3 linked regions of the Anolis sagrei genome follow. The protein of the gene in region 1 interacts with the protein of each later gene in a pairwise test. Links are inferred from orthologs where the notes say so. Each region holds a gene or a part of one and is shown on either strand. Other genes may lie near its edges. The genes, in order: EPM2A, PPP1R3D and PPP1R3C.

The links.
Region 2: the proteins of EPM2A (region 1) and PPP1R3D interact in a two-hybrid assay, tested with the Homo sapiens proteins (2 studies listed by BioGRID, with this or other methods). The link is inferred for Anolis sagrei from reciprocal best matches to the Homo sapiens genes EPM2A and PPP1R3D.
Region 3: the proteins of EPM2A (region 1) and PPP1R3C interact in binary tests that used the Homo sapiens proteins (3 or more experiments, as listed by UniProt). The link is inferred for Anolis sagrei from reciprocal best matches to the Homo sapiens genes EPM2A and PPP1R3C.

Annotation. Positions count from the first base shown.
Region 1 is NC_090021.1:75,309,424-75,320,407, reverse strand, and holds the start of EPM2A (laforin), read right to left. Parts: upstream 4,173-10,984; 5' UTR 4,009-4,172; coding exon 3,741-4,008; intron 1-3,740. UniProt on the Homo sapiens protein: Plays an important role in preventing glycogen hyperphosphorylation and the formation of insoluble aggregates, via its activity as glycogen phosphatase, and by promoting the ubiquitination of proteins involved in glycogen metabolism via its interaction with the E3 ubiquitin ligase NHLRC1/malin.
Region 2 is NC_090024.1:229,835,183-229,846,159, forward strand, and holds the start of PPP1R3D (protein phosphatase 1 regulatory subunit 3D), read right to left. Parts: upstream 4,381-10,977; coding exon 3,403-4,380; 3' UTR 1-3,402. UniProt on the Homo sapiens protein: Seems to act as a glycogen-targeting subunit for PP1. PP1 is essential for cell division, and participates in the regulation of glycogen metabolism, muscle contractility and protein synthesis.
Region 3 is NC_090023.1:185,196,807-185,207,458, reverse strand, and holds the start of PPP1R3C (protein phosphatase 1 regulatory subunit 3C), read left to right. Parts: upstream 1-6,365; 5' UTR 6,366-6,528; intron 6,529-10,652.

The sequences.
Region 1 (10,984 bases):
CAATATGCATTTCTGAACTGGAACTACAGATTAGTAACACTTGTGTAAGTAAACAAAAATATTTTGAACTTTCCACTTAAAGATTTCCTCCAAATTTTATTCAGGGATCATTTGCTTTTCATGATTTCCATTTTATAGATCAGTGCTTCTTTAACATGTTGGGAGTAGACGATGGGGAAGACTAACTTGCTTTTCCCTTTACTTTGTTTTGCTGTCCACACAGGCTCAGTTCCAAAGCGGCTGTTGCTTACCCTACTTGTTGCAGACAAGCACATACCTCTACAATATTATGGAATCAGGTTGCTTCCATAATATTCAGCTTTATTGGATTGTTTATTACTACTACAAATACCCTGTGCAGAGGTGTTAAACTTGTGGTGTGCAGATGTTTTGGCATCCAACTCCCCAAAGCCCTAGCCAGCTGCCCAATGGCCAGGAATTCTGGGAAGTGAAGGGTTACAAGTTTGACACCACTGCCCTCTGACAACATGGTATCAAAAGCCTGTGTTTCTCCAGTCCACCATCTTCCAAATGGAAGAGATGAAACCTTGAGGGCAAGGGGGGAAATAGGGAGAGTAGGGGTATAAAAAGACTTTGCAAAAAGGAGCTTCTTTGTCAGAGGTTTGATTAACTGAGGCATGCCTGATTGCAATGGCCTGGAGAGATACATATTCAGAAGACTTTGCCCTCATAAATAAGCCAATGGAAGTTACTATGCAGAGATAAATTTTACTTGCTAGAAGCTGACATGACAGGAACTGTGCTCTGGGCCCAGAAGTGAATGATTTCCTGTCTTCTATACTGGACATAGGTTTAAGGGAGCAGATCCCACTTGTCTAATTTGTTCAGCATAATGTGCATAAGCTATTGCACCTATTCAATTTCTAAACAATTTCAGCGGGAAAACATATTTCCTAAACCTTCAGGTTAGAAGAGCTGATAAGTGGGTCCACCCAAAGATATCCAAATATTGATGCAGGTCAAGACAAAACAAGATGTCAAAGAAAATAAAACCACCGAGGTTTGGAAGGTCACCAAGCAGAGCAGGAGAAATTCCCAAGGGAGTTTCCTAAATAGATCCATTCAGCGGTCCAAAACATTTGTAGTATCTTAAAAGACACAAGAAGTGGCCTGGAGGAAGAGGTCAGAGGAAAGAAAAAGAAACTCTGCATTTTTATTAGTGACTTAATAAAGACCCACTACAAAGTACATAATAAATAAAAGGTAAAGGTTTTCCCTGACACTAAGTCTAGTTGTGTCTGACTCTGGGGAGTGGTGCTCACCTCCATTCCTAAGCCAAAGAGCTGGCATTGCCTGTAGACACCTCCAAGGTCATGTGGCCAGCATGGTTGCATGGAGTGCCGTTTCCTTCCTGCTGAAGCGGTACCTATTGATCTACTTACGCTTGCATGTTGCCAACTGCTGGGTTGGCAGAAGCTGGGGCTAACAGCAGGAGCTCACCCCGCTTCCTGGATTTGAACCGTCAACATTTCGGTCAGCAAGTTGAGCAGTTCTATCCACTGTGCCACCAGAGGGAGATATATATATATATATATATATATATATATAATTATTATTATTAAACTTTATTTGTACCCCGCTAGCATCTCCCAAGGGATTCGATGCGGCTTACAACAGGCCAGAGCCCAACACAACACAATACAACAATACAATATATAGCAAATAAAACAGTTAAAGCAGAAAAACAACAGCAATAACAATACAACAGGACATTATTAAAAACTGAGCCGGCTGAAGTGGGGTACAGGGTTAAAAGTGCTGAAAAAGTGTCGGGGGATATGATATATATACATGTAAATACAAATAAATACATGAATTTGGAACATATATATTGCAATTATTATTATTATTATTATTATTATTATTATTATTATTATTATTATTATTATTATCTGCATTTCTATACCACTTTTCTCACCTCTGGGGGGACTCAAAGTGGTTTACAACATAATAAATGGCAAATTCAATGCCTCATATATATATATAGAGAGAGAGATAATATCACATATCTAAATCAATAACATATAACTGTAAATTAAAATCATTAAAACTATAAAAATGTCAAACATAGGCATAAGCATTAAACATATTATTGCTGCAATTAACAACGTAGACCCCTTCTCTCCTCCCCCCCCCCCACTCCCCATCTCTCTCTCCATAGAATTTCAGCCCTTCTTTTTATACCTCCCTGCTCACCACCCCATCCCACAAGAAGCTGACCTATATCTTGGAAACTGCCCACAAATCTAATCATTAAATTTTATTTATATTTCATGTACACTTTATGCACATATCCTGCCAGTAATTTTATTCCATTTTTAAATAACTTTGCGCATAAAACAAAGTTTGTGTACACTGAGCCATCCCAAAATGAAACTCTATCCAGTCTACCCAAATGAATGATTTTGTGGGTGCATCAACACTATAGAATAGGCCTGGGCCAACTTGGGGCCTCCCTCCAAGTATTTTGGACTTTTTATGTATGTATTTATTTATTTACGACATTTATATGCTGCCCTTCTCACCCCGATGGGGACACAGAGCGGCTTACACGATATATATACATACAATATATTATATTATTAGCATAGTATAATATCAGTATTAAATATTACTATATTGTACGATACCATTATGCTGTAATATTATTAGTTATATTACACGTAATATAAATATATTAATATAATATCATATTAGTATTATATTGCATTACATTATATTATAAATATTATATGTATATACAATATATTACATTACATTATATTATTAGCATAGCATAGGAGACAAGGTGGAACTGTCCCCTGGCCCCCTCTCTCTTCACTTTGACCCAGAGCGGCAGTTGGTATATTGAGGGGTCCCCAGCTGACTTTACTTAGGTGATCCCTCGTTGGATGAGTAGGATAGTCCTCCATGATCAGTATTCTTGTGGATCCGTAGGTGGCTGTGGAGCCCTATTCTTGACCTGCATCTTCTCCCACAGTGAGGGCATTGTTTTCCAGGTGGAAGGCGGTCTCGGTCAGGGTTGGCTTGACGTGCCTTCCTCCTGGCACATTTCTCCCTTCCACCCTCCATTTGTGCCTCTTCAAATTCTGCAGCACTGCTGGTCACAGCTGACCTCCAGCTGGAGCGCTCAAGGGCCAGGGCTTCCCAGTTCTCAGTGTCTATGGCAAAGATTTTAAAGTTGGCTTATATGTAAGTCAAACCAAAGCCAATCCCCAGCTGAACCGACTGTGAATAATAGGTATGGGTAATCTTGGGCCCTCCTGGTGTTTTGGACTTCAACTCCCACCATTCCTAACAGCCTCAGGCCCTTTCCTTCCCCCTCTAAGCCGCTTAAGCGACCTGAGGCTGTTAGAAATGGTGGGAGTTGAAATCCAAAACACCTGGAGGGCCCAAGATTATCTATAGCTGCTATGAACAGCCGGTTCAGCAAGAGCCATAAGCGTAATTCTGTCGCTGGCCACAGAATCGCTCCAAAAAGGAAAGGGAAAGGGCCTGAGGCTGTTAGGAATGGTGAAAACTGAAGTCCAAAACACCTGGAAGGAGGGCCCAAGTTGACCCAGGCCTGCTTTAGGATGTCTGCATGAGCGATACTCAACTTTGATTATCTAGCCAACTTGGCCACGCCCCCTCCTCTGGCGCACGCGCAGAACACGCCGGCGAGCGAGCACGCAGGCAAGCAATCAGGCAGGGGTGCGTGCGCGGGGGCCGTCCGTTACCTTCCCAGATGGTGTCCCCCGTCTCGCGCCGCCTGAGGAACTTGTACCAGAAGGTGGTTCCGGCCTCCTCCTCCTCGGGCAGCGCCACCTCGGCCAGCCACAGGACGGGTTCCTGGGCCGGCAGGGGCGCCAGCGGCCGCGCGGGCTTCATGGCCAGGGCTTGCTTGGGCTCCCACTGGCCCAGCTCCGGGCGGGAACCCGACACGCAGAGCGCCGTCCCGCCGTCGGCCAGCCGGGCGGGCACGATCACCCCGAAACGGAATAGCATCTCGGCGGGAGCCGGGCCGCTATTAGAAACTAGGGAGTTGGGGAGGGAGAGAGAGCACGGCTGAGCTTCCCCTCACGGCCGCTAGGGGCGAAAGGCAGGGGAGCAATTGCCAGCCATGTCCTAATAGGGACTGGTAGCGATAGGGAGGGATCACGTGACCTGCGCATGCGAAGGGAGCCTCCCAAGTTTGGTTTTGTTTTTTTGTTTTTTGCGACTTCAGCTCCCAGGATCCTTTGCCATTGTTCCAATCAGCCGAGGCTTCTGGGAGTGGAAGTCCAAAGCACTAGAATGTGGGAAGCGCTGAGTCAGCGATTACCAAGTTTCGCGTGATCCCTGTCTGGGACTTCATAGGGTAATAGTACAAGGTTAGTCAAAATGCATAGGCCAGTATATAGTATCAATTGGGGACCCCTCTCCCCAGCACCAACTGCTGCTCTGGGCCAGAGTGGAGAGAGAGGGGGACAGGAGACAGTTTCACCTTGTCTCCTGTGCTATTCTAAGAATACAGTATAATGTAATATAATATATTGTATATACATACAATAGTTATATTATAATGTAATGCAATATAATACTGATATATTATTATATATTTATATTACATGTAATATTACTAATATTACAATATAATGGTATAGTACAATATAGCAATATTTAATACTGATATTGAACTATGCCAATAATATAATATATTGTATGTATATATATCTTGTAAGCCGCTCGGAGTCCTCTTCAGGGTGAGAAGAGCGGCATATAAATGTAAATAAATAAATAAATAGCTGGGTCCGGAAGCTAGAAGCGTTATGCTGTCTCCGCTTCGCTCCTTTGGGAGTGCTGTTTGCACAGCATAATCTTATAGAAGGAATATAAGAGTTCTTTAATGGTAAAACCCTTACCCGAACCCTAAACCTTACCCTACCTCTAAGCCTAAGCCCAGACCCTAAAGCTTACCCTACCTTACCCTAACCCTAAACCTTATCCTAACCCCCCCTTCCTTTCTATCTTTCTGCCCTCCCTTTCCTTTTTAAAATTTTTTTTAATCATCTTTATTATTCCCCCCCCCCTTCCTATCTTTCTGCCCTCCCTTTCCTTATTCACAATCGCTGTTGCGGAATGTGCATAACGCTTGGAGCTTCCGGACCCAGCTATCATACTATCACCCTTCATAGAATCCTTGAAACGTTTTATGGAACCGAAGAACAAAAAACCCGAAGGAACAGCTGCTCTTAGGGCCCCTTCCATACAGCCCTATATCCCAGAATATCAAGGCTGGAAACTCACATTATCCAAGCGTTTATTGTTTTTGTTGTGTCAGGAGCGACTTGAGAAATTGCAGGTCGCTTCTGCTGTGAGAGAATTGGCCGTCTGTAAGGACATTGCCCAGGGGACGCCCGGATGATTTGATGTTTTTATCATCCTTGTGGGAGGCTTCTCTCATGTCCCCGTATGAGGAGCTGGAGCTGATAGAGGGAGCTCATCCACCTCTCCCGGGATTCCAACCTGCATCCTGTCGGTCTTAAGTCCTGCTGGCACAGGGGTTTAATCCACTGTGCCACCGGGGGCTCCTCGTGTGGACTCAGATAACTCAGTCCAAAGCAGATACTGTGGGATTTTCTGCCTTAATGTTCTGGGTTATAGGACCGTGTGAAAGGGCCCTCAGTACTGCATAAGGTGTCTATGGGCCATTCCACACAGCCCTATATCCCAGAATATCTGCTTTGAACTGGGGTGTGTGGAAGGGCCCTTAGATTGTCAAAAAGATCCAGGGCAAATCAATCCAGATTCAAAGTGTTGTCGAAGGCTTTCATGGCCGGGATCACTAAGTTACTGTGAGCTTTCCAAGCTGTATAGTCATGTTCCGTAAGCATTCATCCCTGATGTTTCACCCACATCTGTGGCAGGCATCCTCAGAGGTCTGTTGGAGACTAGGCAAGTGAAGTTTATATATCTGTGGAATGTGCAGGGTGGGAGAAAGAACTCTTGTCTGCTTGAGGCAGGTGTGAATGTTGCAAATGGCCACCTTGATTAGCATTTAATGGCCTTGCAGCAACATAGGGACCACCAAACGCAGCACTGCCCAAACATGATTCAAGGAACATAAAGGCACTGGAGACTCATTCACAGTAGTCAGCCATAGCAGAGCACCTGATGAACCAACCTGGACACAGCATATTCTTTGATAACAGAGAAATGCTGGACCACTCTAACAACCACCATGTCAGACTACACAGAGAAGCCACTGAAATCCACAAGCATGTGGACAATTTGAACAGAAAGGATAGTCACCTGTGGGCTGAGAGGGAAGGTATATAAATATAGTAAATCAATATAGTAAATAAATAAACCATGAAAACGAACAAAATCTGGCTACCAAATGTTTAAAAAACAATAAAATCAGGACAGTAAATAAAGAGCAACACCCAAAAAGCAGGGGAATTCCAGGCAAGAATAAATCAGGGCCAGCTAACTGCTCCCAACAAAGGATTCCTCCAGGCAGCAACCAGCCAGCCTTTGAAGCTACAAGGTCATTAAATGCTAATTAAGGTAGCCATTTGCAACATTCACACTTGCCTCAAGCAGACAAGAGTTCTTTCTCCCACGTAGACATTCCACAGATATATAAACCCCACTTGCCTTGTTTCCAACAGACCCAACCTCTGAGGATGCTTGCCATAGATGTGGGCAACTTCAGGAGATAATGCTTCTAGAACATGGCCATATAGTCCAGAAAACTCACAGCAACCCAAACCAGATTCCTTTGGAGTCCTGCCTTCTGTTCGTAACAGCTGCCTTTTTGGGAGTGCAACTGCTCTTTTGTAGATCCTAGTAACGGGCTGCTCTACCCTTTTCTCAAAAAGGAAAGAGATCCCATTAAAGCTTAAAAAACAGGGCCTTTCCTATATAGTTGAAGAGTCCCTTTGGTCATTTCCCAGTTGTGATAGACAGTTTCCTTTCACTTGTCACCTGACAACGAAATGAAATATTTTGCACAATAACTACCAGATCTAACTTCCACTTACCAATCACAGACATTTCAATTTTGTTTGCTTTAATTTTGTTCCAAGCTGCCCCAAGACAGCTTGGAACAGAAATGAAAACTTATTGTTTCTCCATATTTAACTTCATAAAGTGCTGGTTGTAAAGGAGTGTAAAGAGTTGGATCAAGTCCCACTTTTGGGAAAGGGGCATGTTACGAAGAAATAATAGTCAGAATGTATGAACAACGTTCACATGGTGAGGAAAAAAGTTCAACAAAAAGATCCAGAGCTGGTGCCTTGCAGTGATATACAATGCGCTACACCATCTTGCAGAATCAATCATATTGGGCTTTTTCAAAATTTGTTGTGGATTCAATTGGCATTACAGTTTGATGTAGGCAAGACACTCAACACTATGAAGGTGTCATGTTTTCACTGTGATATGCCTAAACAAGCTATGGTGCAATCTCCTGCCTGCAGCGTCATTCCATGGCCTCAGATTAAATGCACCTGTTTTCTGGAAGGCCTCGGCTTGACAGAAAGCAGATAGTATTATAAACAAGTGGTGTCACAAAGCCCATGGGGCTCTCCAAATAAGTGTGGGATAAAGTCGTGCAAAAGCCACCTCCCTCAACACACAAAGTTTCAACATCCTCCAGACTGGCCATAAAATGGAAATAATCTAGTTCAACTATGACTACCTAGGGATAGCTCCTGTCAAAATTCAATGATCAAGGTGAGGACATTAATCAGAAACAATAAAGATGCTAATGATTACTCTGAAGGGGCTACAGGTTTCAGCTTTGGGGGGGGGGGCATATCACCATATGCTCCACAATGCTGGCCTTTATGAAAGAGTAGTAAGAAATCAATTGCTGCAATAAACACACACATAGGTTACTAGTCAGATTGGATCATAATTTTTAGTCTTGCTGCAGAACATTGTGGGACAAAGCAGAGTGCATGTTGACCTAAGAACACTTGATCCCCAAAATGATGCAGAATAGTGATAGTATCAAGTTGTGGGGATGCTTTTATTGCTGGTCATCACTAAAATGGTCAAGATTGAAAACTAGATGGATGGAGTCAAATACAGGGCAATTCTATAGTAAAAGATATTTCATTTTGTAAGGAGTAAAGTACTTTACACATTAACAAAGTAACACAAGATTGGTTTAGAAACAGGATCTGTACAATGCCCTAATCTGGCATGACAACAAAAGTGGGTATTTGCCACTAGTCCCCATCCAACATGACAGAGGTGATCCAATGGTGACAAAAATGGGCAAAAACTACAGGATTCAGATGTGTGAAGCTGACAGGGACTTACTCAAGAAGGTATTTTTACCTTGTCAGTGCTGTTCAAAGGTGTTATCCTATGCATCAACTCATTAATGCATGCATCCAACAAAATGCCAGTTTGTTTTTCTTCCCTTAACTTTCAAGGCAGAATAAGTGCATTTTGCAGCTTTGTTGAATATCTTGTGTGCGTCAAGTGATACTTCTTCCCTGTTGAAATTATTCATTCATTTTGGCTGAACTTTTCAATCTGTTACGGTCATTTTGAATCCTTAGACTGTATCCTCCAGAGTGTTGGCTACCCCTCCTAGTTTGGTGTCATCTGCAAATAATTATGTTGTTTATCCTGTCAATTACATTGTTATCAAGATGTTGAACCACAATGGTTTTAAAAGAGATTGCTATGATATCCTGCTAGTCCCTCTTTCCAGGATAAAGAGGAATCACTGGTGAATATTCTTGTGTGTTCAATTGGGAAACCAGTGAAAAAAACCACTGTCTTGCCTATATTTAACAAGCTTATCTGCAAGAATATAACAAGGTTGTGTTTTCAAAAATCTGACTGAAATCAAGGTATGTTACTAAAGTATGGCTCTGATCTACAAAATTAGTTATCAAAAAAGAGGTGTATAAAACAATTACAGGCATCTTTTGTAGTGAATATTCTCCTTCATCTATGTATTTTTCTCTTCACTTACTGGTAATGTCTTTCCCAAAATCCTGAGGAGAAAGGTCTTTTTCTGTCATCTAAGAATTCATTAGATATAAAATGCTTTCTAAACGGTTGATAGTAATTTCTAGAAACACTGCCACAACTGAAGGTATGTATGAGAATTAACTTTTAGATATTCAGACAGAATGGTGGATAGATGTACAGTTAGCCCTCCACATTTGCTGGGGGTAGGGGCAGAATAGCACTGTTAAAGTGAAAAAACGTAAATAAAAACAAATGCTATTTTTTTTTACCTGAGGATACACTGCTCTAGGAATCTTAGTTCTCCAGCATGACTCTGCTAGAAAATGACTATATAGTCGCACTGGAGGACCTAGTGATTCCTTGAGAGATTATTCTAATCAAATTCACAAAAAATCAAATTTGTAAAAGTTAAACCCACGAATGTGGAAGGTCGACTGTGATAGCTACCAGAAGATGATTTCATAATACTAAAAGGCAGACAAAAATGTTAAACAGTTCAAATTACCAACAAATAATACCCCCAAAATATAAGTTAGTCTTCAAGTGTCAAAATTGTTCATGTGAAGTACACTGAAGAAAGATAAAATCTTGCTATAGGTTCTAAAACCATAGTGACATTCATTCACTGCTGTAAACATATTTCAGCTTACTAAGCAGAATCAAGAAAAACCCAGATCACTTAGACCAGGGCAAGAATAATGTTACCCCTTCAGATCATGTTGAACTGCAATACCACAGCAGTACCAATGGTGAAGAACACTGGGAGTTGCAGACCCATAACATCAGGGAATAATGATTCCCAAGTCTGATTTTGCTTACTGACAAGGAAAAACATATACTAAATAAAAATGGCAAATGTGTTTTATTATGATTAACCGATGTTGCAAAATAGCATTCACTGAAAACATTGAAACAAGGTAGTGTATTGGTTAGAGAAAGAAATTGCTGTGAATATGAAAGAAAGGCAATGCAAATGGAAAAATTATCGTGAGAGACCCAAAGGCAAGATATAGTACAGGAAAAAGGTCAAGTATTGAAAAATACTGTGTTTTTTTAAAATAAAAAACCTAACAAACCCTGCATAGCAGTATAAAATACTGATACTGTAGATTTATGTTGTTTTCCTGTACGTAAGAATATACTGAACAGAATTTTTACAGCATTATTTTAATAGCTCTGGATTAACTTTTAAAAAACACAGTATCTAGATTTAAAAGTAAAAGTGCATGTAGTGTTGAGAAAGAAGTGTTCAAAATTCTTAATATGGTAGAAAAACAAACCAATTGCTCACCCCAGGTGCAACTGGTTTTTGTTTGAAGCTAGAGCCATCTAGTGTAGAACTTCTTCAGCTGCAAAGTCTTTTCTAAGCAGTCAAGCTATATTTCTGCTGACTTCTGTTCAGCCACAAAATATGAATGTTTATAAGGTTTACATGGGGAAGGTATTTAGTGGCAAAACATTAGTGTAATAACTTGGTACATTTGGAATGAATCTTCTTAGTTATTTCAAATTACAGTTCTCTCTCATTTTTCAGAGAAATGCAAATGCCCACACGCTGCTGAAAGAAGCACACACTACCTTTGGGGATTACATTTTTTCTGAGTGTAGAGATACCAGGGATCAAAGAAGGTTCAACGTATTATCAGGGCTTGTATAAAATGAGGTCTCTGTTCCCTCTTTTCCAAACCACTATACCTAAAGTCAGCATTGCGTAGAAAGATAGCACAGCTGAACCTTCTCTTCCCACTGCAGCCTGCTGCATCACCCAAAGTGGGAATCTGAAGGGTTCTCCAGCCTCCAGAGTCAGTTTTGGACAAACATGGGGTGACACGAGCAAGGCAGAATCACTTACTTCTAATTCCACTTGAACCTTCTTCTATGCCAACAGCAACCTGCCGCTGGCATAAAATCAGAAGTGTTTATCAACAAAATTTGGCAGGACTGAAAGAAAAATTGCCTCTTCAAAGAGAAAGGCAGCTGATGAACAATTAAATGATCCCAA
Region 2 (10,977 bases), on another chromosome or scaffold:
GTCTTAAAGACACATTGAATAATCAAAATGACAAAGAGGCTATTTCCAAAATAATGCTATCAGTTACGTAACAGATATAATCTCCCACATCCATTTGGCATGCTGTAGGGCCATACTAGAAAATCAAAGTAGAAAATGAGATGTTTGGAAATTATGTGATACACTGGCATGAAAGCATCTTGAAAATTATGTCTACATAATTTCTATCTTAATCCTCCGTGTTTCTTTGAATAATTTATGAGACCATTGCAACTCTGCTATTTGAATCAGAAGTATTAGAACTTAGGTATATATTGAAACAATAGACACAGTTCTGTTTTGTTTCTGCACGATATACCTCCTATTATCGTTACAATACTTTTCAACAGTTTGCAAAATAATTCAGCTGTCTTAAAAACCCAAAAACGGCCAAACAAAAGCACGCACAGAGTAATATCCTGCTGCTTACACATAACTAGAGTAGATTCATTCAATCAATTGACAGTCATCACACAAATAAATGAAAAGGGGTTAATTGGTCTACTCTAGGCTGAATTTGTCCAAATGATGCCTGCTACACAATGTTGGAATATATGTGATCAGTCAGCTAAGCATTTTTTTTTCATGATACTCCATTTCACACTCTCATCCCTTTCCTTTTTCCCTTCCAAGGCCATGCTGCTTTAGGTTTTCCCCTCCCTATTTGGAATTTTCTTCCCAAGCATGAACTTATTTTTTACTTCTACGGTTTTATAACTCTTCCCACTATGTGTGGCTGCAGTATTTCTACTGAAATAATAAAGAAAACCCCATGAGATCTGTTTTGAGCTTCCCTATCATGTAACTGATAAGCAATAAATCAGAATTCTTGGCTTAGTCACCAGTAAGGAAAATAGATGTTCCATTACTCTGTCTTTCACATATGTTGGCCAGGCACTTCAAAGGACTGCCAAAATCTGAAGAACGGCCCCTTGAGAAGGCAGCTCATCAAAAAAAAAAAAACCCTCTTTAGCAAATGCATAGCTGGAATACTACTCTGGGTCCTTGGGATCCAGTTGCCATGAGACACAGAATAGGAATGGCTGGATTGAGCTGCAATATAGCCACCTTCAAGTTTCTCAAGGCCTAATGCTGTTCCACAAAAACAGAAAATTTGAAACTATGTGCTTTAACCACTCTCACATTGTGTAGGGACACGTTAACATGGAAGTGCAGCCATTGGTACAGGGCATGTTTGCATACAGGAGAAAAAGGAGAAAAAAACATCCTGCCTAAAAACCTAAACACTACTGCATGTAAACACTACTGAGCTACCAGGATAAAGCAGCTTCTTAGAGAAAATGTGTTGCAAAACAAGGAGAAGGAAATATTTTGGATATAAATATAATTCACTAATATTCAATTTGATAATTTCTAGCTGATTATGTTTAGCCAGCTAAATTAATGTTAGTTCTTTATATTTTCAATGAATCATATCTTCACAGCAGTCCTTTTAGATAGATAGATAGATAGATAGATAGATAGATAGATAGATAGATAGATAGATCTGAAGAGTGAGAAGAGGTATCATACAGAAACCCTATTTATCAAATACATTCTTCAACTAATATGTATGTATCAGCGCAACTTCTAGGCCTGCAGAACCCTGCATTCCATGTATTGTTTTACAAGTTATCAGTTATAAGAGTTCTTATTTTCATTTGTGCATATCAGTGTTTTAATGAAAGCTGGGAAGGAAATAATTTTGGCACACATATATAAAAACAATCATAGACACACAACACATGTACATATAAATCCATTCTTAATAATCCCTAATATATCCATTTGTAAAATATATACAGATAAAGCAAGGGTTTCAACCCAATCAAAGACTGAACTTCCAAGTAATAAATTCATCTTCATAAGTGTGTATCATCTCCTTTCTCCTATTTTCATAATTACAGGATGGCATTGGATTCCAAGATTTCTTGCAACTTAAGCACAATTCATATCTCGAATCACACATTCCACAAAAGAGAGTCCTCCTCCCCCACCTCATTTAAGGACAAACATGTTTAGACTGGCAAAAGCTTTTGTGGGCTGTAGTCCATGAATGCTTATGTCAACTTAAATTATTAGTTCTTAACAGGTTACATGATATTTAGTTGTTATGCTGCAAAAGAATCAAACAGCTACCCTCAGAAAACCATTTAGTTATAGTTCATTAGTAACAGTGCCTATATCCTCCACCTTTTACTCAAGCATCTCAGATAATATTTTCTTTTTTGAAATCAAGCATGAGCTCCTCAACTCTTGGTGATTATATCAGTGCATAAAAGGCTCACTCCTTTATTTCAATTTACAGCAATCTAGGTGAGTAATACACAGCTGGAGACAGTGATTCACATAACCTATTCTGATAACCTCAAATGGAATACAGTACAAAAGAGCAAAACTTTATTTTACTCAGGTAAACAACTTAGTGTGTTATTTTTCATCTATAAGTGTGCTTTGCTTGTAACCAGCAAGGAAAGGAACTTTTCCTTCAAGTGTAAACTGCATAGTTGCTCTACCCTGAGCAACAAAATGTTTCACATGTAATTTTTCCATTTGTGAGGACCTGAATGCTTCATGAATAGGGCACTAGTCTGCCAGTATGCTTTATAACACCTTCAACTCCCAGAAATCCTTACAGCTGGTAAACTGGCTGGGATTTCTGGAAGTTGTAGGCCAAAACACCTGGGGACCCACAGGTTGAGAACCACTGCTTTATAAAATGCAGTGTCTGCAAATATATTTCCACTTAGACCATTATAATACTCATCACCATCACTTTTTACAACCTGGCCCTGCAATATTTTGCCACTGCCTAAAAATGATGCAGCACTGGAGGTTTTTTCCTGCTAAGGAGCAAAATCACACCGCCCATACTTTACCTATTAAAATTATATCAAATAAAAACAAAGTGCAAAAGTGCATTGACCGAAGTGCAAATCTACAGCTTCAATGATTGCAAAAATAACTACATTTTAAATATCCAAACTCTATATATAGTCTCATCTATCACAAAGATTAATCAAAACAACAGAAATTGGCTTGTTTTCCCTGATAGTGTCCTTTCTGCTGTTGTTTACACATGCTTTCATACATAAAACACATAGACGCATACAAAAAAATACATATTGATTAAATCTAGGTGTTAAGTCAATACTTGGCTATGAATCAGTGCTGAAGATTATGGCCCTTTATCTCTAAAGAAAAACCATCTTTTCTGAACTCATTTTGTGGAGATCACTGGTATATAAATATTAATTCATTCTGAAGGATCTTTGCCACTCTGAAGGCCTTCTTTGGTGTATCAGGAAGAAGAGAAGTGCCAAAGGAAAACACAGGACTAGCAACAGCAAGAAGGCTGTAGCTCTTCTGTATTTCTTCTTTTACTTAAATAAAGTGGATCCAGCTCTCCTCACATTCCCTGGGCATTTTAAGTGGGTGATTCCTACAAGTGAGGCTATAGTTTTTGCCTTGGTTATTATCCCAATACTCCTGCCCACTGACTCGGAAAAACACTGCAAACTCAACCACAGAGCTGAGCTGGAGGAGGAAAGGGGGAAGAGGGAGGAAGAAGGTAAAGACATCCACTTGATCCTGCCCATCCTTGCCAGGAAGACTGCTATGCCAACGAGCAGCAACTTCATGCTGGCCCCTCCAGTGGTTAAAGGTATAGCGCACAGCCACCTGCTTTTCAAATGCAAGGTTGATGACTCTGATGGTGCCATTCAGACCCAAATCTGAGCTGGTCACTCGTTCAAGGCACACTTTCTGCTGCTGAAGGCGACTGAGGAACTCCTCGCAGTCAGCAGGTTGCCTGAAATCAGGCACCAGGCACTGCATGGTGAACTCCAGGTCTAGCCTGCTGCAACAAAGATCGGAATTGATGGAGAGGCGAGAGAGAACATGCAGAGGGATGGATGGGTCTTCCCCAGCTTGGAAGACTTTCACTTCAGCCAGCTCCAAGCCTAATGCATCTGCAAACCTCACTCGGTTTCTGCCAGTGTTACACCCAGGAACACGGCAGGGTGCTGTCATGCTTCTCCTCCTCTCCGGAGAGCTTGGCAAGGACCTGGCTCGACGACGCATGATGGGCCTAAGGTGTGGGTCACAGCTTGCAACCACAGGGCTCTGCAGATGTCTGTCTTGCAGCTTTTCACTGGCAGAAATATTCAGGAGGCTGATGCTGCTGTGAACTGGTGGGTATCTCTTCTGCTCCTCACGCTGGGCTTCTTCTTGCAACATGTTCTGATAAAGGCCAGAGAGGTAGCTGGGGTTCCTTCGTGGGGGCCTCAAAGCCACTTGCTCAGATAGGCAAACAGGTTGAGCAGACACTGCTGCTCCTGAGAACAATTTTCGTTGAGACATGGCAGATAAGACCCAGGGCCAGTGAGATAGGAGGCACAAGTTGGCAAGGCCAAGAGACTGTTTCAACACAGGGCAGTTTAAGGTATTGGGACAGGTAGCCCTAGATAATTTTGCGACCCACCCAAGTCAGACACTGTAGGACCCAGAGCAACGATGTTGAGCAACAGATGTCTCAAGACTATCACAGAGACTGCAGGGAGAGTCCAAACTGTCTGACTGGATGCTGGAAGCTTGGGTGCTGTCATACAAATTATTTGCTGACTGAAGACTGTCCAGTTGGATGCTGGATGTCTCCAGACTGTCTCCGAGGCTGAAGATGGAGCAGAAGTTGCTGTGCCGGAGACAGACAGAATCCAGGCTGTCAAGTGGATGGCGGGTACAATGAGTGTCAACGGATGCAAGGCTTTGACAGTGCTCTCTGAGGGAATCCAGACTGTCACTCTGAATGCTGGAGGAATCCAGAAGACTGCCAGGGCTGGAAGGTACTTGAAGGCTATTAGATTGGGCAGAGAGGGAGTCCAGGCTATTGGAGATGCTGGAAAGAGGCTGGAGAATGTTGGAGAAGCTGTGGGGTGTCTGAAGGCTATTAGAGAAGATGGGGGAAGGCTGGGGGCTGTTGAAGAAGCTCGATGGAGCTTGAAGACCTTCTTCGCCTTGGATGGAAGAAACCTGAAGGCTATTTGAGAAGATGGCAGGCGCTTGAAGACCTTCTTCCTGGAGGCTGTTGGAGATGCTGCGAGGAGTCTGAAGACTTTCTCCTTGGATGGAAGAAGCCTGGAGGTTGTTGGAGAAGCTGGAAGGAGCCTGAAAACCTTTGCCTTGGATGGAGGGAGCCTGGAGGCTGTTGGAGAAGCTGGATGGAGTCTGAAGACCTTCTCCTTGGATGGAAGAAGCCTGGAGGCTGTTGGAGATGCTGGGAGGAGTCTGAAGACTTTCTCCTTGGATGGAAGAAGCCTGGAGGTTGTTGGAGAAGCTGGATGGAGCCTGAAAACCTTTGCCTTGGATGGAGGGAGCCTGGAGGCTGTTGGAGAAGCTGGATGGAGTCTGAAGACCTTCTCCTTGGATGGAAGAAGCCTGGAGGCTGTTGGAGATGCTGGGAGGAGTCTGAAGACTTTCTCCTTGGATGGAAGAAGCCTGGAGGTTGTTGGAGAAGCTGGAAGGAGCCTGAAAACCTTTGCCTTGGTTGGAGGGAGCCTGGAGGCTTTTAGAGAAGCTGGAAGGAGTATGAAGACCTTCGTTTTGGATGGAAGAATCCTGGAGGCGATCAGGTTGGGCTGAGCTGCTGATGGAAGCAGTGGTGGAGGAAGCCGATGGATGGGGATGACCCAAGCTATGGCAATGGCTAGATGCTGAGTCCACGTTGGGAGCGTCCGGGCCCCACATGCAGCAAGCAAGGCTCAGACTCTTCCCAAGGCCCCCAGCGAGGACTGCAGGGTCTTCTCCTTGAGGCAGACTCCTGCTTCACGCCCCCTTTTCAGCCGGAAGCGTGCAGACGGGCAAGGGATGCAGGCGCCGGGGGTTGCTGCGGCTCCTCCCTCCACCTGACTGCAAGGGGTGCAAGCGTGTGACGCTCCAGAGCCCCTTCCCCAGCCGAGGACGTGGGGGAAAGCCCTCTATGACGTCACGGGTCGCCACCTCCCCCTCTCGGTTCCTCCGGGGATCCTCCCCGGCCTTGGTTCGGTCTGCGCCTGCGCCAGCAATCGACGCATGCGCACAAGACTCACCCGAAGTCCGAGTTGCCCTTCCTTCTTCCCGTTTCCTGGGGAACTTGATTTAAATACGAAAAGGAGGGAATGGGAGGAGGGAGAGAATGGCAGGAGGAAAGGAATAGCAGCTGCGAAGGAAACTCACGAATGGAGAGAGAAAAGAGAGAAAACGAAACCCAGTTAGAATGGATTTAACTGGATAAATGGCCATGAAAGTGTGTCCAAACCTCATTTTACAAAAGACGAAATGAGGAGCCTAATGGGCAGAGCTTGGAAGTAACTAGTTAGTTACGTTTAAAATAGTTACATGTATCTGCTTATTTTTTGATAACAATCTGTCAACAAAGTCGCATTTCAAAAATAACAAGAAACAATGAAACAGAAGATTTTCATTGTTTCTTGTTATGTTTGAGGCTTCTCTCATTTCCCCGCATGGGAAGCTGGAGCTGACAGACAGGAGCTCACTTCGTCTCACGAATTTGAACCGCCAACCTTCAGGTCAGTTCAGGATGTAGACTTATATCAAGGAAGCCATGGCCTTGGGTCTGCTAGAACTGAGCAAGGCTATTCATTCCAGGGCGATTTGGAAATCTCACATTCATAGTGTTATAGTTTTTCAAGGTCTTTAGCTTTTTCTGCCAAAGAGTGCTGGTGCCGCGCCAAACTATAACTTTGGGATTCCATAGCATTGAGCCATAGCAGTTAAAGTGGTGTCAAACTATGTTTATTCCACCGTGTAGATGTGCCATGACGAGGGGAGATTATTTTCAGTGATATATGGGAATATAGGGAGCCCCCGGTGGCGCAGTGGGTTAAAACGCTGAGCTGCTGAGCTTATAGAACCATAGAATCAAAGAGTTGGAAGAGACCTCATGGGCCATCCAGTCCAACCCCCTGCCAAGAAGCAGGAATATTGCATTCAAATCACCCCTGACAGATGGCCATCCAGCCTCTGCTTAAAAGCCTCCAAAGAAGGAGCCTCCACCACACTCTGGGGCAGAGAGTTCCACTGCTGAACGGCTCTCACAGTCAGGAAGTTCTTCCTCATGTTCAGATGGAATCTCCTCTCTTGTAGTTTGAAGCCATTGTTCCGCGTCCTAGTCTCCAGGGAAGCAGAAAACAAGCTTGCTCCCTCCTCCCTGTGGCTTCCTCTCACATATTTATACATGGCTATCATATCCCCTCTCAGCCTTCTCTTCTTCAGGCTAAACATGCCCAGCTCCTTAAGCCGCTCCTCATAGGGCTTGTTCTCCAGACCCTCCATCATTCTAGTCGCCCTCCTCTGGAGCTTGTTGATCGAAAGGTCGCAGGTTCGATTCCGGGGAGCAGCGTGAGCTTCCGCTGTCAGCCCTAGCTTCTGCCAACCTAGCAGTTCGAAAACATGCAAATGTGAGTAGATCAATAGGTACCGCTCCGGCGGGAAGGTAACGGCGCTCCATGCAGTCATGCTGGCCACATGACCTTGGAGGTGTCTACGGACAACACTGGCTCTTCGGCTTAGAAATGGAGATGAGCACCACACCCCAGAGTCAGACATGATTGGACTTAATGTCAGGGGACTACCTTTACCTATGGGAATTACAATATGTGAGCAACATTAACACACAAACTGACTAAGGATTCTGTATGGTGCGCCTCCTGCTAGACCAGACCAAAGGGAATCCTTAATAATTTTGTGTGTGTGCACGCGTGCATGTTACAGCCTCATCACACTAGAGCATAGATCCACTTTAAAACTGGTTTCTGCCTCCTGCAGAATTCTGGGGTTTGTAGTATCTGGCAGAGCAGTTTAAAGGCCCCTCCCTAAACTACAAGTCCCAGAATTCTGCAGGAGGCAGAAACTGGATTTAAAGTGGATCGATGCTCTAGTGTGATGTCCTTAGAATCACTTATATATTGTAATTCCCGTATATCACTGAAAGCAATGACATTCACAGGCTCTCATCCTCAGAGTTTGTCAATGCTATGATTCAATGGAATCCTATTTTTATTTATTTATCATGTCAGTATCAACCAGACAATTGTATTACATTTTAAACAAATTTTTAACAAACAGACGAAACAGAGTTTGCAAGCTTGGTAGTTGATTAAATGTCCTTTGACCAGTATCTGGCCACTTGGAGTGCCTCTGGTGTTGCCTCAAGAAGGTCCTCCATCGTGCATGTAGCAGGGCTCAGGTTGCATTGCAGCAGGTGGTCTGTGGTTTGCTCTTCTCCACACTCGCATGTCGAGGATTCCACTTTGTAGCCCCATTTCTTGAGGTTGGCTCTGCATCTCGTGGTGCCAGAGTGCAGTCTGTTCAGCACCTTCCGAGTCGCCCAGTTTTCTGTGTGCCCAGGGGGGAGTCTCTCATTTGGTATCAGCCATTGATTGAGGTTCTGGGTTTGAGCCTGCCACTTTTGGACTCTCGCTTGCTGAGGTGTTCCAGAGAGTGGCTCTATAGATCTTAGAAAACTATTTCTTGATTTAAGTCGTTGGCATGCTGGCTGATACCCAAACAAGGGATGAGCTGGAGATGTCTCTGCCTTGGTCCTTTCACTATTGGCTGCTACTTCCCGGCGGATGTCAGGTGGTGTAATGCCGGCTAAACAGTGTAATTTGGAATCCTGGGAGCTGTTGTTTTACAGGGTCTATCGTATTCTCTGCCAAAGAGCCACAAAATTTAGTCTCTGGGCGTACATTTACACTGCAGAATGAATTCAGTTTGGACTGTCATGGATTCCTTGGATATATAGTTTTGGATGCATCTACACCAGTATTTCTCAACCTGGGGGTCGGGATCCCTGGGGGGGGGGGTCACAAGGGGGTGTCAGAGGGGTCACCAAAGACCATCAGAAAACACAGTATTTTCTGTTGGTCATGGGAGTTCTGTGTGAGAAACTTAGTCCAATTCTTCCGTTGGTGGGGTTCAGAATGCTCTTTGTAGGTGAACTATAAATCCCAGCAACTACAACTCCCAAATGTCAAAATCTGTTTTTCCCAAACTCCACCAGTGTTCACATTTGGGCATATTGAGTATTTGTGCCAAGCTTGGTCCTGATCCATCATTGTCTTGAGTCCACAGTGCTCTCTGGATGTAGGTGAACTACAACTCCAAAACTCAACCTCAGTGCCCACCAAACCCATTCCAGTATTTTCTGTTGGTCACGGGAGTTCTGAGTGCTAAGTTGGGTTCAGTACAATCGTGGGTGGAGTTCAGAATGGTCTTTGATTGTAGATGAACAATAAATCCCAGCAACTACAATTCCCAAATGACAAAATCAATCCCCCAACCCCACCAGTATTCAAATTTGTGCGTATCAGGTCTTTGTGCCAAATTTGGTCCAGTGAATGGAAATACATCCTGCATATTGGATATTTGCATTACAATTCATAACAGTAGCAACACTACAGTTATGAAGCAGCAACGAAAACAGTTTTATGATTGGGTGTCACCACAACATAGAATCAAGAGACCTCATGAGCCATCCAGTCCAACCCCCTGCCAAGAAGCAGGAAAATTGCCTTCAAAGCACCTCTGACAGATGGCCATCCAGCCTCTGTTTAAAAGCTTCCAAAGAAGGAGCCTCCACTACACTCTAGGGCAGAGAGTTCCACTGCTGAATGGCTCTCACAGTCAGGAAGTTCTTCCTCATGTTCAGATGGAATCTCCTCTCTTGTAGTTTGAAGCCATTGTTCTGTGTCCTAGTCTCCAGGGAAGCAGAAAACAAGCTTGCTCCCTCCTCCCTGTGATTTCCCCTCACATATTTATACATGGCTATCATGTCTCCTTAGGGAAGGCTGAGCGAAGGAAGATAGATGCTTTTGAACTGTGGTGTTGGAGGAAAGTTCTGAGAGTGCCTTGGACTGCGAGAAGATCCAACCAGTCCATCCTCCAGGAAATAAAGCCCAACTGCTCATTGGAGGGAAGGAGACTAGAGACATAGTTGAAGCACTTTGGCCACATCATGAGGAGACAGCAAAGCCTAGAGAAGACAATTATGCTGGGGAAAGTGGAAGGGAAAAGGAAGAGGGGCCAACCAAGGGCAAGATGGATGGATGGCATCCTTGAAGTGACTGGACTGACCTTGAAGGAGCTGGGGCTGGTGATGGCCGACAGGGAGCTCTGGCGTGGGCTGGTCCATGAGGTCACGAAGAGTCGGAGACGACTGAACGAATGAACAACAACAAAATTACAACAGCACAACAACAGAGAGGAAACAAACAAAGACATCTAATCACCTCTCAACAAAAGTTTGCTCCAGGCACTGTCAGGCCATTACATGCTAATCAAGGTGGTCAGTTGAAACATTCACACCTAGCTCCAGCAGACAAGAGTCCTTTGTCATTCCACAGATATATAAACCCTTTCCCCTAGTTCCAACAGACCTCACCACCTCTGAGGATGCTTGCCATAGATGCAGGCGAAACGTCAGGAGAAAATGCCTCTAGAACATGGCCATATAGCCCGGAAAAACCTACAATAACCTTAGTCAAATTCTCCCATCGGTGGGGTTCAGAATGCTCTTTGATTGTAGGTGAACTATCAATCCCAGCAACTACAACTCCCAAATGTCAAGATCTATTTTCCCCAAACTCCACCAGTGTTCACAAATTGAGTATTTGTGCCAAGTTTGGTCCTGATCCATCATTGTCTGAGTCCACAGTGCTCTCTGGATGTAGGTGAACTCCAACTCCAAAACTCAACGTCAGTGCCCACCAAACCCCTTCCAGTATTTTCTGTTGGTCATGGGAGTTCTGAGTGCTAAGTTGGGTTCAATACAATCGTTGGTGGGGTTCAGAATGGTCTTTGATAAACGACAAGTCCCAGGATTCCATAGCATGGAGCCACAACAGCTTGCATTCCTTGGCCAGTGTGGCTAATGTGCTGCTGCTGCTGCTGTCGTGGGCC
Region 3 (10,652 bases), on another chromosome or scaffold:
TCGACCTTTGCAACTCGAAAGACAGTTGCATCTGTCAAGTAGGAAATTTAGGTACCACCTATGTGTGGGGAGGCTAATTTAACTAATTTACGAGGCCATAAAAAAATCTCCAGCAAAAGCATGTGGGGAATGCAGAATGTACTTCATCAGTGTCACAGATGGACAGTGAAGCGACAGCTCTCCTGGTGGCTGGAAAATTGGAATGTTAAATAGCCTCTGACTGTCTGTCTATATGTCCTGTGTGTCTATGGCATTGAATGTTTGCCATGTATGTGTACATTGTAATCTGCCCGGAGTCCCCTGCGGGGTGAGAAGGGTGGAATATAAATACTGTAAATCAATAATAATCTATCTATCTATCTATCTATCTATCTATCTATCTATCTATGTATGTATATAATAAAAGTCAGTGTTTGTATGCAGAGGGAGGGAGGGCGGTGTATGTGGCAGCTTTCTGATTGGCTGCCACTTTCACAAGCCACTGTGACCGCTACGAATGGTGAACCTGGACTAAACTTGGCACACATAACCCCCATGACCCACTTTACATCCCGGTGCGGTTTGGGGGATTTGGACCACTGATTATGGGATTTGTAGTACTTTCAAATGCTTTGGTTCCCACAGACCACTATGGCCCCCAACAAAGACCGATGAAGACCAAACTTGGCACACACAGCCCCCAGGACCAATTCTACATCCTACTGCAGTTTGGATGATGGTGGACCATGGATGATGGGACTTGAAGTACCTCCACTCACTTCCGGAGACCACTGCGATCCTCATTCAATGACTGACCAAGACCAAACTTGCCACTCATAACCCCCTGGCTGCCTTTACATCCTGGTGAGGTTTGGGGGAGGGCAGACAATGGATGATGGGATTTGTAGTGCTTTCAAACCCTTCAGATCCCACAAACCACTGCGGCCCCCAGTAAAGACTGATAAAGACCAAACTTGGTACACAGAATCCCCATGACCCACTCTACATCCTACTGCAGTTTGGAGGAGGATGGCCCTCAGAGGACCTCACAACCTCTGAGGATGCCTGCCATAGATGCAGGCGAAACATCAGGAGAGAATGCTTCTAGAACATGGCCATATAGGCCAAAAAACTTACAACCCATGTTACATAATGTTACAGGCCTGTACGGTCAACCCCTGTACCCACAGAACTCATACCCATATGTTTCACCTACCCACATCCAATAAAATGTGTCTTCTTTAGGAATTGTCTGGGTCCTCCAACATGACTTTACGGCCACATGTGACAAAATCCATTCATTTTCAAGGGAGAAATTTGTCAAGAGGAAGACCCATCAAGCCAACCCTTGTGACCATCTTTCATCTTGAAATCTCTGTCCTCATTGCAAAAGACCATGCAGATTCAGAATAGATCTTCATAGTCAATTACAAACCCACCACCAAGACTACCCTTGGAAGACAATCATATTCAGCCATGAGTGATAGCCTATATTGCTATTAACTTCAATTTGCCATTTCTGTTCAGGAATGTACACACCATGATCATTGGAGAGGTGTCATTCTATATTCTCTATCATCTACTGTATATTTTACTAAATAATTTCTCCTGGCTCAACTCCCCCAAAACTGATGGTAGTGTCATTCATTCAATTCAATTGCTGGCAGAAGGGACCTCCTTCTCCCACGCAGCTGATGCCCAGAAAAGTAACTGTGTGGGGAAGTCATGACTGTGGCAATGGTGTCATAAAAGTGACTCAGTAGTGATAGTGAGTATGGAATACCTACCTATACTAACTGTTCTGCCTTCATGATCACTACTTAGTCATGAATCACAAGAAGAAGGAGTCCTATTCTGCTGATGTTTGGAGCACAGGTAAATAACATTTCTATCAGGTTTAGCACAGTCCGGCCAGGAGAGGTTATGTTTATTTAACTAAGTAGTTGATAGAGAATACCGACTAATGTCCTCTGTGTAGCACTGAGATATACAGTCCAATCTTCCTAGCCTTGTTTGTTATGAACTCCATTTATTTGCTTGCAGTCCACATACATATGCCCAAGAGGGCAATTTACAAGGATGAAAAGAAAGGGGTAATCTTGAAACCTAATGTGTTTATGCTGCTTTTCACATATAATCCTTTTGGAGTATCTTCTAATGAGATTATTTGTTCATATCTTCCAAGCTGCAGCCCTCCATTGATTTATAAACCCAGTGAATATAATGAGATTGACTTCTGAGTGCACATAACTAACTCTACTGTTGGTCATGCTAAATAAACTCTTCTGCATACTGTCTTAATAGATTCAATCAGGCACATCCAATGCTTTTTTGTATTTAAATTGGTTCATTACACTGATGTTAATCATTCTAAAGCAAGCATGGGCAGACTTCGGTCCTCCAGGTGTTTGGACTTCAACTATCACAATTCCTAACAGGCGGGCTGTTAAGAATTGTGGGAGTTGAAGTCCAAAACACCTTGAAGGTCAAAGTTTGCCCATGCCTGCTCTAAAGTGATTCATGTTCAACTTTCCCAGATTTGAAATCAAAACATGTATACAGAAAAAAACAACAAACTAATCAGTTTGCTCTGGCCTCCACATTAAAATCTCATTCTCTCTCTCTCTCTCTCTCAATCTGCCTACGTGCCAACCTGCCTCTCTCTCTCTCTCTCTCTGTCCATTAGGCTTGTCTGATCAAAAAAAAAAAAGAAGTTCAAAACTCGTTTCGGATGTAGGGGGCGCTGGTGGTTCGATTCTAAAGTCAATTCCGATTTTCACAGAAAAAAATGTTCAAAACTTTTTGAAACTTCTGAGACTTCCAAATCCTTTCATTAATGGTTTGAAAGTGTTATTTCCTATTTCGTTGTATTGTCTTTACTTTGAAAGTAGTTGTTTTACTCCAGGAGCGGGGAAAAGCAAGCAGAGTAAATCCTTTCCTTCTCTGGTTTAAAACTGGCTTCTCTGGCTTGAGCAGAGGCCAGGAACCAGAAGCAGGGAAAAGCAAGTGGAGTAAATTCCTACCTTCTCTGGTTTAAAACTGGCTTCTCTGGCTTGACCCGAGGCCAGGGACCAGAAGCGGGGAAAAGCAAGCGGAGTAAATTCTTTCCTCCTCTGGTTTAAAACTGGCTTCTCTGGCTTGACCCGAGGCCAGGAAATTCCTTCCTTCTCTGGTTTAAAACTGGCTTCTCTGGCTTGACCTGAGGCCAGGGACCAGAAGTGGGGAAAAGAAAGCAGAGTAAATTCTTTTCTTCTCTGGTTTAAAACTGGCTTTCTGGCTTGAGCCGAGGCTAGGGAATTCCTGCCTTTTCTGGTTTAAAACGGGCTTCTCTGGCTTGAGCCGAGGCCAGGGACCAGAAACAGGGAAAAAGCAAACAGAGGAAATTCCTACCTTCTCTGGTTTAAAACTGGCTTCTCTGGCTTGAGCCGAGGCTAGGGACCAGGAGTGGGGAAAAGGAAGCGGTGTAAATTCTTTCTTCTCTGGTTTAAAACTGGTTTCTCTGGCTTGAGCTGAAACCAGGAAATTCCTTCCTTCTCTGGTTCAAAACTGGCTTCTCTGGCTTGAGCCTAGGCCTGGGACCAGAAGCAGGGGGAAAGGTGAATCATTCCCGACTCACTTCATGAGTCATAACAAAAATGGCAGAGAAAGCTTTGGAAGGGCAAAGGGACTTCCGGTTTTCTTAAAAATTTCAAAATCACTTTGAAAAGGCAATTTTTTAAAATTTATTTCTAATTACGAAGATTCCGACGGTACCTAACCATGCCTACTATCCACCCATCCATCTGCCTGTATCTATCTGCCTCTATCTATCTATCTATCTATCTATCTATCTATCTATCTATCTGCCTCTATCTAATTAGGCATGTGCAAAAAACCCCACAAAAACAAACGGAAAACCTCGTACATTGGACCTCCTGCCAAAAGTAGAGTCCATCAGTCACATACTTTTCAAGGTGAAGTTCCAGCACTTAAGGCTGCAGGAAAAGGCCAAATACTGCAGACGTAGCAGTTTGAAAAGCACCACGAGCAATAAAGTTAAAATTAGAAATCTATTTATCTATCTCTATTTACTGCTCTCTTTTTTGCACCTACTTTGTCTAAGGATGAAAGGACTTTGTAGGTTTTCTTCTGGCTGGGTTGCTGCACAACAGGCAGGGATATGCCCAGGGAGCTCTTTGCTAGCAGTACAGTGGAATAGATGAGCTTCCTCTGTGGAATTTCAGCCCATAACATTTCCTTCCCAAGAAAAAGATGTTCTCAAATAAGGAAAACAATGCAACTGGTTTTGTTTTCTTAAAAAAACTGGAAAGCTCTGGAGAGATGGAAAGTCTATTCATAAGAACCAAAAGGAAACATCTGGAACATGTTTTGCTGAGTCCTGGGCCGGGGAGTCAGAAACAAGGAAGGGCAAAGACCCTTTTCTCCTTTAACCACAGGGTTGCTTGGAGCAATCTTGCAGACTCAGGACTCCTCTGGAGGAAGTGTCTCAAGAATGATCCAGAGCCTGGAAATGTTACCTTTGAGTCAAACTCAGAGATGTGAATACTCTAACTGGGGCCTTATCACACTAGAGAGAAAAATCCACTTAAAATCTGAATTCTGCCTCCTGCAGAATTCTGGGGTTTGTAATTTAGGGAGGAGCCTTTAACAGTCTCACTAAACTACAAACCCGATTTGCAGATTTTATGTAGATTTTTTCTCCAGTGTGATGAAAAATGCAATTTCCAGTATCCCCAGTCACTATGGTCTGCTGGGGATGTCAGATGCTGCAGTCCCAAACCCAACATGTCTGGTCATTATGGTTTGCTGGGGATGTTCTGGTCACATGTTCTTCTGGGGATGTTGGAAGCTGTAGTTTCAAATGCCTGCTGGGGATCTTGGGGGTGTTGTCCAAGCCTCCCAGGATGCCCACTCACCCAGGTCTCTTGGAGATCTTGGGAACTGTAATCCCAATTTCCAGGATACCCAATCACTACAGTGTGCTGAGGATGTTGGGAGCTGCAATCCCAATTACCAGCATGCCCAGTCACCATGGTCTGCTGGGGATGCTGGGAGCAGCACCCCGAATTCCAGTATGCACAATCACCATGGTCTGTTGGAGATGTTGGGAGCTCCAATTTCCAGTATGACCACTCATCATGGTCTGCTGGGGATTCTGGGAGCTGCAATCCCAATTTCCAGTATGAACGGTCGTCATGGTCTGCTGGGAATGATGGTACCTGCAATCCCAATTACCAGCATGCCCAGTCACCATGGTCTGCTGGGGATGCTGAGGCTACAACTCCAAATTCCAATATGCACAGTCACCATGGTCTTCTGGAGATGTTGGGAGTTGCAATCCCAAATTCCAGTATGCATGGTCAGCATGGTCTGCTGGGGAAGTTGGGAGTTGTAACCCCACATTCCAGTATGCTCAGTCACCATGGTCTGCTGGAGATGTTGGGAGCTGCAATCCCAATTACCAGCATGCCCAGTCACCATGGTCTGCTGGGGATGCTGGGGGCTGCAACCCCAAATTCCAATATGCACGGTCACCATGGTCTGCTGGAGATGTTGGGAGCTGCAATCCCAATTTCCAGTATGACCATGCACCATGGTCTGCTGGGGATGCTGGGAGCTGCAACCCCAAATTCCAGTATTCATAGTCACCATGGACTGCTGGAGAAGTTGGGACCTGCAACCCCAAATTCCAGTATTCACGGTCACCAGGGTCTACTGGGGATTTTGGGAGTTGCAATCCCAATTTCCAGTATGACCATTCACCATGGCCTGCTGGGGATGTTGGGAGCTACAACCCCAAATTCCGGTATGTACAATCACCATAGTCTGCTGGGGATGTTGGAAGCTGCAATCCCAATTACCAGGATGCCCACTCACTATGGTCTGCTGAGGATGCTGGAGATTGCAGTCCCAAATTCCAATATGCACAGTCACCATGGCCTACTGGGAATGTTGGGAGTCACAATCCCAAACTCCCAGTTTCCCAGTCACAGTGTCCTTTCGTTTTCCCAGTGTTTCAATGGCCTGCTGGGGGATGTTGCAGTCCCAAAGTCCCAGCATCCCCAGCACTAAAGACCTTGTGAAACTCCCATGCCCAGGATCCCTTAGCATGAAGCCATAACAGTGCAACTTTGCTGCCAGACTGCAGTCCATTCTACGGAGTGTCCCGGATGTTCTGGGCAGCCCTGAGTGCCATTCAATGGGAGGCCTGGGAAAGCCCGGCTGCCCGGCAGGGGCTGACCTTGAGCCGCTCGAGCTGGGCTCCCACCGCCTCCGGCCCAAAGGATCACGTTTCTTCAGCTCGGCGCTGATTGGCCGGCGGGAGCCTCGTGGGCCTCGGGATTGGCTGCCCCGCCGCTTTCACGTGAAGAAGGCAGCGCCGGGGCTGATAATAGCAGGCGGAGCGCGCGCCGGCCGTGGTCAGTCTGGCAGAGCGCAGCCCGACACGCGTCTTCTCGCGCCTTTGAACGTGTGAACGGCCGCTTCCTCCGCGTTCTGGATGCCCCTCCGCCTGGGTTTGGTGGGCGCTCCTTTAAGCAGTTAGAGCAGGTGAGCCTGACTTGGGTGGGGAAGGGAAAGCTTGGCATGGAAAGAAGCAATGCGGGTTGATACCGGATCTAAACTGCCCTGTTTTTCCACACACAGAACATCAAGGCAGACAATCCCAATCTGCTTTGAATAGGGTTATATGAGTCCACACTGCCATATATCCCACTTCAAAGCAGATAATGTGGATTATTTATTTATCTATGTGGAAAGGGGTCTTAATACTTATGGGATCATTGGGAGCTGCAGTTTTGCAAGGTCTCTAGCTTTCTCTGCCACCCTGCGAATCCTAGCGTTCCATAGCACACATTAAAGTGGTGTCTAAACAGCATTAATTCTGCAGTGTAGATGCACCCTAGCAATCACCTGTAGTTCTGACTAAGCATTTTTTAGGAAGGCTGCAGGGTTTGAGGGCTTTCCAATGCTGTATCGAAATAGTATTTTAAATTATATTAATGATATAACACAATTTACCCCATAATAGGGCTAACTTTGATGTAGCCACACAGTAGAATTGTAGCAGTTTGAATCCACTCTTAACTTCCAAGGCTCAGTGGTATGGAATTTCAGGAACAATAGCTTATTGTGGCATCAGAGCTCTGGGGTCCCTTCCAGACAGGCCCTATATACCAGGATCTGATCCCAGGTTTTCTTTTTATCCCAGATTATCTCTCAGTGTGGACTCATATAATCCAGTTTTAAAGCCACAAACCTGAGATCAGATCCTAGGATATAGGGCCCTTCCACACCACTAAATAAAATCCCACATTTTCTGCTTTGAACTGGGTTATATGACAGTGTGGACTCAGATAACCCAGTTCAAAGCAGATACTGTGGGATTTTCTGCCTTGAGATTCGGGGTTATATGGCTGTGTGGGATAGAGAAAGCTAAGTATCTCACACAACTAGATATCCAATATAATACTACTACTAATAATATGATAATATAATTATATTACATGTAATATTACTAATAATATTACAATATAATGGTATAGTACAATATAGTAATATATAATACTGACTAGCCGTCCCCTGCCACGCGTAGCTATGGCCCAGTCTGTGTATGTTTCGTGTGTGTTTATGTGTGTGTATATATTTGTGTATATGTGTATATATGTGTGTTTGCATATATAGACAGATAGATAGATCTAGATAGATAGATAGATAGATAGATCGGTGTATATGTTTGTGTATATATGTGTGTATACATGTGTATATATTTGTGTATTTCTGTTTATATGTGTATATGCATATTGAGTATATGTGTGTGCTTGTGAATAATATGTGTGTATGTATGTCTATATGTGTATGTGTGCATGTGTATATGTATGTGTATATTTGTGTGTGCTTGTGTATATATATGTGTGTGTATGTATGTATGTGTGCATGTATATATGTATGAGTGTATGTGTATATATTTAGTTGATTTGGGGGGGGGGGTTAAGTCTGTTCTGCTGGGTTTTTTGTGTGTTTTAGGGGTGATGGACACTCATTGGCCTGATAGGTGTATTGTGTCCAAATTTGGTGTCAATTCATCCAGTGGTTTTTGAGTTATTTTAATCCCACAAACGAACATTACATTTTTATTTATATAGATATTGTTCTATGCTAATAATAATACATATCGTATGTATATATATATATATACATCGTAAGCCTCTCTGAGTCCGCTTCGGGGTGAGAAGGGTGGCGTATAAATGTCATAAATAAATAATAAATATCCCATAATTCTATAACATTAAGTCTTGACTGTTATCAGGATTAGATTCAATCTATTACACTACATAACACAATTTTCATTTCTAGGTTATAAATATCCTTTCCTAATTGGTTCTGTCTTTAAAACATGGGAAAAATATTAAACTGCACAAGCTTTGTTTGTGCTGGACATCCTGCAGCACGTTTTGCTCTAGTTTTTCTCATCCAAGCCTCAACTAATTCAACATAGTTTGTGATAGACACAGAAATGAAGTTTCAGGAGTGGGACAACTACTTTCGAAGTCAGGACCACACAATTAAACAGGAAATAACACTTTCAAACCAGGAACAGGTTTTTTTTCCAAAATTTTGTTACATAGTTCAATTTTTTCATGACTTTTTAAGAAAGTACAGTCATGGCTATTTTGGTGCAGTGACATATTTATTGTGACTCTATTGTTTTGCAAACACATTATTTCAGGAATCTTAAATGTGGTTCCTGAATCCCATCAATCAAAAAGGGGAGAGGTAGAAGGACTGGATCTGTCATTTCATTTTTCTCTGCGGCTTCTCGTAACTGTGTCAGCAATGGAATTTCTAATATCCCGGCAGTGTGTCTTGCAGACGGATCTGGTTGAATGTTCCTATAAATGGCCAGGTTTAAGTAACTTTGGGCCCTTGCACACAGTCCTATATCTCAGAATATTAAGGCAGGAAATCCCACATTATCTGAGTGTGGACTCACATAACCCAGTTCAAAGCAGATATTGTGGGATTTCCTTCCTTTATATTCTGGGATATAGGGTTGAGGGGGAAGGGCCCTTGATCCACAAGTTTCTAGAAGATTCTAAGTTTTCACATTCATTGGACCTGACATTCGAGCTGATCCATGGCTGAAACAGTGGACCTTTCCACACAGTCATATAACCCAGAATATCAAGGCAGATAAATCACAATATCTGCTTTGAAATGGGTTATCTGAGACCCCTTCCACACAGTTTATTTATTTATTTACAGTATTTATATTCAGCCCTTCTCATCCTGCAGGGGACTTAGGGCGGATTACAATGCACATGTACATGGCAAACATTCAATGCCAATTAGACATACAACATATATAGACAGACACAGAGGCAATTTAACATTCCAGCTTTTCCGGCTTCATGAGGTTTTCCAGCACCTCCCCCTGGCCACAAGGGGAGCTGCCACTTTACTGTCCATTTGTGATACCAAGTCCTTTGATGAAGTTTTTTTTGTCGTGTCAGGAGCGACTTGAGAAACTGCAAGTCACTTCTGGTGTGAGAGAATTGGCCATCTGCAAGGACGTTGCCCAGGGGACGCCCGGATGATTTGATGTTTTATCATCCTTGTGGGAGGCTTCTTTCATGTCCCCGCATGAGGAGCTAGAACTGATAGGTGGAGCTCATCCACCTCTCCCCGGATTCGAACCTGTGACCTGTCGGTCTTCAGTCCTGCTGGCATAGGGATTTATCCCACTCCCCCACCGGGGGCTCAAGTACTTCTTCATTCTTATGCGCTGCTGGAAGGTTTTATGGTGTTGTAAATTAGTTAAGTTAGCCTCCCCACATAAAGCAGTACCTAAATTTCCTACTTGACAGAATGCAACTGTCTTTCGGATGCATAGGTCGACAGCAAGCTAGACTGGAAGCTCACTCTGACCTGAGCTAGCTTCAAACTCATGACCTCTCGGTCAATAGTGATTTAATGCAGCTGGCTATCAGCAAGCTGTGCCACAGCCCGGTCCCATAAAACCCCACATTTTCTGCTTTGAGGTGGGTTATATGGCAGTGTGAGCTCAGATATCCTAGTCCAAAGCAGATATTGTGGGATTTTCTGCCTTGATATTCTGATTTATATAGCTGTGTGGAAGGGCCCTGAGTCCACACTATCATATAATCCAGTTCAATGTGGATTTTATACAGCTGTATGGAAGGGACCAGTGTCTCTTACCAAGTTATGAGAAGGATTCCTAAATTATTACAGTCATAAAAAGTAACTACCTATCTTAACCTCTATGTAACTTTTAAAATGTCATTGGAAACCTTAGTAGGCAATGAATGTCCTTGGGGGAAGAAAAGGATACTCAACTGCTTACTTTCTGATTATAAGATACAAACTTTTGAGTTCTCCAAAAGTCTTAATCGTGCTATTTCTTTACCGTGTCAGAAGCAAATTGAGAATACAATTATAATGTTTATCATTGTGCTAAATGGAATAAAAAAATCCAACATATGGCTTTAAAAAAATGACCTCTCCCCAATACCTTAAATTATGTGCCTTTTACTTGGCTGACAAGTTCTCCAGAACTTGAAAGTTTACATATTTGTAGCATTTGGTTGGGAGGAATAGTTGTTGCTCAACTCTGTATTTCAGATTAAATTAATGTGCATGCAATAAAATCATAT